Linked DNA regions of Oryctolagus cuniculus. The protein of the gene in region 1 interacts with the protein of each later gene in a biochemical or structural test. Links are inferred from orthologs where the notes say so. Each region holds a gene or a part of one and is shown on either strand. Other genes may lie near its edges. The genes, in order: BIRC3 and RIPK2.

Region 1 (4,468 bases):
GGCTGTCCAAGAACACAAGGCAGTAATGCATTCTGCAGTTATTAAAGATGACCAGACTTAGAGTTTAATGGATGATGCTGGGTGCCAAATGGCTATGGTGTTAAGAGTCCATCACATACATCTGAAAGTTCTATGTCAATTTTTATTTCAAAATATCAGTATTTATGCTTTGCAGTTCCTTTGCAACTATTATGTTTTGATGTTAAGTGAAAAATGGGTAAGGGAATGTAGAGTTTGCAAAATTCTTCTGGTGGGTACATGACTAGAAATGTATAAAGACCATGTTTTGCTTTTTTTTTTTTTTCAAAGATTTTATTTATTTGAAAGGCAGAGGTGACCCAGAGGTAGGCAGAGACATCTTCTACCTCCGTTGGTTCACTCCCCAAATGCCTCCAGTAGCCAAGGCTGGCCAGTCCACATCAGACACTAGGAACTTCACCTGGGTCTCTTGTGTGGGTGGCAGGGGCCTGGGCACTTGGGCCATCATCTGCTGCCTTCCCAGGCTCATCAGCAGGGAGCTGGATGGGAAGAAGAGGTGCCGACCTTGGAACCTGCAGCCTGGTATGGGATGCTCACACCCCAAGCAGCAGCGTGGCCTGGTTGGGCCGCAACCTCAGCCCTCTGCCTGCATGCCCCAGAATGAAGTCCTGAGTACCGCTGGTGGGCTCTGCCTTTGGTCGGTGACTACCGTTGTTCTACTGGAAAATGTTAAATTCAGATAGGCTCTCTTTGCCCATCTGGAGCCTTGGCCAGTGTTGCCCTTAGTTAAGAGCCTTCAGTGTGCTGCCTAGGGAACATGGAGGAAAACAGGGCCCTGTAGTTAGACACAGAGGCCTCAGGTTTCCATGCCAACCTCACTACAACTTAAAGGCCTCCCTTGTGAGACAAAAGGCTAAAAAAGAGGAATTTCTTCTTTCTAGCCAAGTCCACCCTACTTGTTAAAAACCCCACCCAAAGAAAAGAAGACAAAATGGAAAGCCTTTCAGTTTAGGAAATAGTCATTTCAATCTTTAGAACAGTAAAAAATAAACTGAAAAGGAAAGCTGCATGACTTTTTAACATACCCTACATTTCCTTTCAGCTCTATTATAATCAGAACTAAAAGTAAAACTAACAAACGATTTCACAAATTTTCAATGTATTTGTATTTTTTTTAAATACTGAACTTCTCGAGGCCCCTAGAGAAGGCTGGAAAGTCTGACCTTTTGCACCTGCCAAGTACATGCCATGGGAGGGTAGGGGTCAGGGTGAGGCTGACCACCATTCTGCACTGGTTATCAAGATTTCCTTCCACCCAGGAACAATGGAGCAAAGGTCTTGCAGTAAATACGTTAAGCAAGAGTCATCTTTCAGGGCCACGGAAATCCCCGACTGGGTTTGCCAGGCCACTGATTAAGGGGAAGTATGTGTGGTTATTACCGCTGGAATTCCCCTAGGTCCTAAAAGGAAAGCACCCGCGCTCATGCAAAAGTGCAAGAGCTGGTGGGGAAGCGGTGTGTCTGGCGGAGGCCTTTAAAGGCAGCCACAAGCGGGGCGGCAGGTGTCACTCGCGGGGACCCAGCTCGTCGGTGTTGGCGCGGTCGGCCTAGGCGACAGGCTGCAGTGAGTGTGCGTGTGCCTGTGTCTGTGTCTCTGTCTGTGTCTCTGTGCGCCCCTCCGCCCACGGCGCGGGGAAGAGAGGTGGCTCCGGGCGAGCGGCTGCCGAGCCTCTGCCCGCCCTGCCGCCCGCCCAGGGGTGCTGGCGCCGCAGCAGGATCCGGCGGGCTTCTCTCCTTCCTTCCTGTTCCATCCCACCTTCCTGCCGGCTGCAGTTTCTATTTCACTTAGGGGTGCACCAGTGGAAATGGTGAAGCTTTGACATCTCAGTTCGATTGCCGGGAAGTGTCACTGGGGCTTGGAGGGTTCCAGATATGCTTCAGGACAAAGCCCAAGCTGGAGCTGGACGCAGCAGTCTCAGTAAAATACTTAGGGAACCGGCAGAGGGATGCTCCTGAGCGGTGGTGGCACATGCACTTGCTTGGGGTCACCATGGAAACCCAAGGGGGCTCTTAAACCAATCAGTAAATTGTTGGAGGTGTTTTACTTAATGCCAAAAGAACAATTCTAGTAATTTTACATGTATTTTTCCTGTTTGATGATCACCATCTTAAGAAGCAGGTACTGTAATGTATTCTGCCTTTTGATACTGAGGCTCTTGTAGATTTACTTGTCTAAAGTCCTGCTCTTGCTTAGGGGAGACTGGTTGGTATTGGATAGCACAGACGTCTGGCCCCAGTGCCTGACACTAGGCTGAGCAGTCTTTATCATTAATGTAAAATTGATGTCCTCAACCCCAGGCAGATGAGGGCACAGCAGCCATGCAGAACTTTCCTCAGGTTAGCAAAAATGTTGGCTAAGTTTCCATCTGCAGCCCAAAGGTCAGGCTTTAGGTGGGATCCCAAGTCCTGTGGATGCTGTGGTTGGGGGGGGCTGGAGGGGAGCTGAGGCAAGTTCCTGTTCTGAAGGAGCCTGCAGTCCAGAGGAGGCAGAAGGGGAAAGTTCAGGTCCTCCATCCTCAGAGAAACGAGTTTGTTGAGTGCCCAAAAGCGTAGGGACTCCCAGTGGCCAGGAGTCAGGGATGCTGCCCACTGGAAATTCTGACCTAGGAAGAGAGAGGGCTGGGGACACAAGCTGCCCTGAGGGGGAACTGCCAGAAAGGAAAGAGGAATTCCAAGGGGGTGGTGTTGGAGCAGCTGGGCCCATTGCTAAGAGGAAGTGGGCCCCAGTGGCAGATGCAAAACTTCCCCTTGGTTCTGGCAGAAAAGCCTTGGTGCTGAGAGTAGTTGCCATGGTGCTGGTTGTACGGAGTAAATGAGAGACAAAACACGGACAAAATTAACCGTAGACACAGGTTCGGTTTGCTCACTGAAAAAGGCAGGTGAGACACAGGGCACTGGCTGCAATGGAAAGTGGATTTGTTTTAGTTTGTTTTCACTTGAAAGCTGAAACTTAAGCAAGATTGTTACAGGGAATGAAAAAGGCCAGTGGAGACTAACAGTTGAAAAAATGAGGGGAGAAGGGCTGAAAAGATTTCTGAGGCAGGAGGAGAGGATGGGGTCCCATGAAGAAGCAGCTGGGGTGGGGGGTTGTGAGCAAAAAGACATGGTTATGAGAGCGTGAGAAAACTGTTGCTCCTTGACATCCCTTTTCCTTGAGAAATAGAAAGCAAAACAGTGCTCGATCGTGGGATGGCAAGTAGTGAGGGAGAAAGCAGAGGAGGGTACTGAATGGTTAGAAAGGAGCTGGCAGAGGGCAGGTGGCTAGGGAGCTGCCAGGGCCCGGAGTGCTGGTCCCATTCTGTAGGGCGGTAGGTGGAATCCTGCAACATTTGGATGTCTTTGTGTTGGGAATGGGTAAGGCAGAGGTTGAATTGATCCAAAGGTAACGTCTTAGCCTATTTTTGTGTATTGGATGTTGCCTAAATTTCCACAAACATATGCTTTGTTTCCATACCAAATCTTCTTTTATAGCCTTTGAAATATATTTCATAAAACATCTATATAATTTATGCATAATATAAAACAAATAAAATCAATTTTAATAATATAAATATATGGTCTTTTAAATATAGGTATCAGAGCTTCTTTGAGATAGTCTTCATCTCCACAAAGAAATATGCTTCCCTCTCATTTTTCTCCAAATATGTGTCCCTCTTTGTCTACCTCTCATTTGGTTACTATTGATGAACATGAGAGTTGTAAGAATTTCATGTTTCTTATAATTCTATTGTAAGAAAAATAACAGTGCCAGGTGAATGACAAATAGTAACTGACGGTCTCTGTGTCAGGCAGTCAAAATACAGTGCCAAAGTGGAGAGCAGGTGCCCCGTCTGAAAGGTACGGCTGGTGCTCTGCTCTCTTGCTAGGATTGCCAAGCAGGGATACAGGGCTGAGCTGCCAGATTCTCATGTTTTGTTTTTATTTTTGTTTTTAAGAGAAGTTTTGAATCTAGAATGTCTTAGGAAATCTCTTACATTGAAAAATGCGGCAATTAACTTACTATAAGATTTGAAGATATTGTGGTCCAAAAAAAACCTGGTTTGGAAAATTGGCTTTCTATCAATGTTAATTTTCTGGTCTCTATAATTATACTATGGTTATAGAAGATGTTAACTTTGGGGAAGCTGAGTGCAGAGTATGTGAATAGTCTTTTTACAAGTTTTCTCTAAGAATAAATTAATTTTAACACAAAAAGTTAAAAAAATTAGTAAGATATTATAATCTAATTCTGTGCCAGCCTAACATAGTATGTCTCCTGGTCACAGGATATTTCTGGTCTTTATCTGGGATTTCGTGGTTCCTGCAGTGTCTACTATATCATCTTGTACATAGCACATACTCAGTACAGTATTGCTAATACTGTGCTAGTATTGTACTCTATTTGGAGAAAAAAATGTTTTAAAGTTAATTATATTACATCTGTGAATTAT
Region 2 (4,381 bases), on another chromosome or scaffold:
AAGAAAAAAGTTCTAAGACCAAACAGTGTCATTCTAATCCCCATCCTTTATTCTTATGTAACCCCTTGGAAGACTTTTAGTATGTTAGTGCTCTCACCTCTTTTCAGGATGTGCTTTAACACAGGCCTTTTTTAGTTTGTGAGTTCTTTAAATGTGGATACTCCCGTCCTTCACTCCTAGAAAAGTTTTTTGAAGTACTACTTCGATCATTTCCTCCCCTTTTTGTTTGTTTTGTCATGTTTGTCTTTCTGGAATTCTTAGTTTCTTGACTGATTGGATGAATAAATGGAAAACTTTCCTGAGCATTTTTTGTAGCATAAAGCTTATTAAGCAATAAAGTACAGACTGTCAAACCACATCTTTAAAAACTATTATAAAATTATCAAAATTTTAAACACATTATTTGTTGAGAACTTCCCCCTATTGTAAAATGTAACGCTACTACTCTCATTTCAGGCAATTCAGAAATACAAGAATCATTAGTTCTCTGTAAGCAGAAATCCTTTACTCAAGTTAGGCATTCCTTATTACTGCTGCCCTAGAATTCGTTAAAGAACTAGTCTGGGTTACCAGTATATATGATATTGCACTCACCCTACAGAACAGTCATTTAGGGGGAAAGGTGTTTGTTGAGGGTAGAAAGGCTGGAAGATGTTTGCAGTCTTTTTTATTAAACACTGAGGGCATTCCGCTAAGATCTATAAGGAAGAAATCTTTGCAACAGTCCCTGGAGTTAGAGAGATGGACTCTCGGGGTTATTTAGGGAACTAAGAAGAGCGGGAGAAACCAGATCTCCAGTATTGGAACAAGTGGCAGCTAAGCACCTGCACTTGTTCCACTATAAAAGGGTCTATCATCCACTCCACACTCCTAATGTGGCTGTAAACTAGAGAGGATTGAAGTCCCGGTACACAGATGAACTCACAGCCCCAAACAGCCAGAAGCACTGGAAGACAACACGCCCCCTCCACCCACAACAGGGCCCTTCCCGCGCAGGCGCAGAGTCTGGAGCGCCCCTCCCCCGAGCCAAAATAAGCCCACCCTCCCAGCCCCCAACCCCGCACAGTGCTTCTGGTGTTCGACGACTCGCAGAATCCTCGGTGCGCGGGCCCGCTGCCCAAGCCTATCCTGGTCAGCTGGCCGCTGAGAGGGACTTTCCCAAAAGGAAAACTTTCCCAAAAGGAAAACTTTCCCAAAGCCGGATGGGGGATGGGGAGGAGGACTGAAGATAAAAGGGGCGCCCTGGCTGCCTGTCCAGTCCCTTGACCGGTAGCCTCAGCCCCTGGGTGTCGCACAGATCGTCGGGGACCGCGCGACGCGGGTGCAACACCCCGGCCGCAGGAGGCAGGGTCGCCAGCGAGCCGCCCGTCTCTTTCCTCAGCGCTGCCACTGACGTCGTCTGAGAAGCTGCTGAGGGAGGAGCCCCGACGGCCAGGCTGGGGCGGCGGCGGCGCGCGCGGGCCACGGCCAGGTCCGCCAGAGGAAGCTCCTCCTCGGCGCGACGCGGCGCCGCTGACTCGACCCACTGCACAGGAGACGAGGCCGCTCCGGCTCGAGCAAAGCCAGCGTCTGGCCTTGGCCGCCCTGGGAATGGCCGGCCTCGATACCTAGCGCCCGCGACAGGGAGGGCCTCGCCGGCTTCCCGCCTTCACGCTTGCATCTGGACGACTGAGGCTCCCTGAGAACCGCTGGCACACCCGAAACCGGCCGGCGGCCTGAGCGCCCGCGCCGCCCGTGACCATGAACGAGGACGCCATCTGCAGCGCCCTGCCCACCATCCCCTACCACAAACTCGCCGACCTGCGCTACCTGAGCCGCGGCGCCTCCGGCACGGTGTCGTCGGCCCGCCACGCCGACTGGCGCGTTCAGGTGGCGGTGAAGCATCTGCACATCCACACCCCGCTGCTCGACAGGTAGGGCGCCGGCGCCTCCACGCAAAGCCCGCAGCCCTGCTGCGTGCCCGCCCCCGACGCGGCGCAAGAGGGTTCTAGATCCAGAAGGGCAGTGAGCGCCTGGGGTCCGTCCCTGCCCTCGTCACCTCTAGGCAGTCTCCCTGGGGAGAACCGGCTTCTCCGGAGGTGCTAATGCGTTCCTCCATGGTTTCGTCTCTCTCCTCTCCTCTTACTCTCCCCAGGGTTTCCTCTCCCCATACTCCCAAAATCAGCATTTTCAGCCCAACTGTAAAAGCCCTGTTTCCTGTAGTGGATGTGGGTTTTGTTTCCTTTGTTTTTCTGCCCGAAATTGGGCTACGGGGCTGTCTAATAAGTAATTCTCATCCATCCACAGGTGGCTGTTAAACACTTTTAAGTGTGACCCCCTGTGAATTGAAGTGTGCTGTAAGATACACACTGGAATTCGAACACTTAGAAAATCAAGAACAAAAACCTTATGATTTATGTACCATTCATATTTCCATATTGGTTGAATGATGATAAAATTTTGACACATTGGGCTAAATATAATCTATTGTTAAAGTTCATTTCACATGTTCCTTTTTACTTGTTTTGTAATGTGGCTACTAGAAAATTTTTAATTGTATGCGTGGTTCACATTATATTTTCATTTGACAGTGCTGCTCTAGAGTTTGTGATGCTTGAGTTTTGGTTTTGCTGGTTTTGTTTTGTTTGTGGTTTATTAAGTGTAGTAATGAAAGTTCGAATATCAAACTCAACAACCAATTCAGTTTCTTCCTCTCTCATAGGAAAGACTGCCCCCAGAGGAAATGTGTATTATTTTTGCTAACAATAAATTGAACTAGAAGACTTGTAAGTGGCCAAAAATTATGAATCTCTCACATCGTGGAACATTTTTAGTGCAGTGTTCGAGTTTTAAAGGAAGGCAGCATTAATTTCTGTTTTGTTTCCAGAAAAACATTACAACCATATACTGCAGACTTGTAACTGATGTATTGGTTAGTGAGTCCAGTTACTATTCTGTGCATTTTCCTTTCAGCAAGGATATAACTAGGCCTCCTATTTACTTAGTTAACACCCAGGAGTGCAACTTTCTCTGTCCCCCCATCTCTAATTTGAAAATACATCATCTAATACATTTTGCAGTGTCCCTATCAGATAATTTCTCAGCTTCAATCCTGTCAAATTATTGGACTTTGGTCTGCCTCTGGCTTTTCTTTGCTGTCTCTCACAATCAAGCTGAAGTTAGCTAGATCCCAGAGGAGATTCCGGATTTCTCTAGAGATGCCTGCCACTTTTGCATTCAAGGTTCAGTAAAATACAGGATGTGGTGTCTTTACCCTGCACCTTTTATTCTATGCAGCAAGTGCTGAACTAGGGTGTGTGAAGTTTAAAGGATGGTGGTTGGTTAAAGTGGATGAATATATTTTAGAACTAACTGTGTAACTATAGCACTGATAGACTCACTGCACACCTTAAAGCTAGATGATCCTCCGATTTTGGATGCTACTTTCTCAAGATTTTAATTTATTTCAGCCTTATGACATTTAGGGGCCAATGAGTGAAGAAGGAGTTCCCTTCCCATACTCCTTTACACTTTTCCATACTCCTTTACACTTTTCATTGTCTAAATTGGGTAGAAAATGAGCCTCAAGGAACCATCCTACCAGTGGAACATTATGCATTACCATCTCATTCTTTTTACCCACCTGTAAACTAAAAGTGTTATGTAGATTTATGTAGTCTGGGTATAGGGCTAGGCCGTGCACTTGACTCACAGTGTGTCTGTGCATGTCCTTCTTGGGCTCTGGTATAGACAGTGTTTGCATTGTTCTTTGGGATCACCTGAAAGAAAAATAAATTCATGTGATGATGTTACATGCCCTTATTTTTGTGAATGGTGAGTCACCATCCATAACGTGACTTCTCTTCGTGTACCTCCCCCTTCCTCTTACGAGATTGATCGTTCAAATACCCTGTCTATGTCATAACTTTTTTGATTGAAATTATGTGTTGAGTGAGTTTGTTGATATGTTCATAGAAGATGTATTTCATACTTTAGGTTTTTTTAATGTAAAAGCCTATCTTTACAATCTTTTGGCTCTGTTTTCCCACTTAATCATGTCAGAATCTAAGAACCTTCCTACTTCTCTGATTAGAAAGAACTTAGGCCTTTATTGTCCCATGGTTGCAATTCAAATCTGACCAAAATTCTGCCACTTTCTGGTGTGGTCATTAGAAATTGTTTTTCGGGGGACTAGCAGTGTGGTGTAGTGGATAAAGCTGCCCCTTGTGAGGTTGGCTTCCTATATGGGTGCCAGTTTGTGTCCTGGCTGCTCTACTTCTGATCCAGCTCTGTGCTAATGGCCTGGGAAAAGCAGCAGAAGATGGCCCAAGTGTTTGGGCCCCTGAAACCCATGTGGGAGACCCAGATAAAGCTCCTGGCTCCTGACCTGGGCTTGGCCCAG

What was found.
Region 2: the proteins of BIRC3 (region 1) and RIPK2 form a complex in vitro, tested with the Homo sapiens proteins (2 studies listed by BioGRID, with this or other methods). The link is inferred for Oryctolagus cuniculus from reciprocal best matches to the Homo sapiens genes BIRC3 and RIPK2.

The regions. Positions count from the first base shown.
Region 1 is NC_091432.1:94,034,819-94,039,286, forward strand, and holds the start of BIRC3 (baculoviral IAP repeat-containing protein 3), read left to right. Parts: upstream 1-1,390; 5' UTR 1,391-1,602; exon of another isoform or gene 1,603-1,608; intron 1,609-4,468. UniProt on the Homo sapiens protein: Multi-functional protein which regulates not only caspases and apoptosis, but also modulates inflammatory signaling and immunity, mitogenic kinase signaling and cell proliferation, as well as cell invasion and metastasis.
Region 2 is NC_091437.1:114,996,601-115,000,981, forward strand, and holds the start of RIPK2 (receptor-interacting serine/threonine-protein kinase 2), read left to right. Parts: upstream 1-1,339; 5' UTR 1,340-1,740; coding exon 1,741-1,913; exon of another isoform or gene 1,914-1,945; intron 1,946-4,381.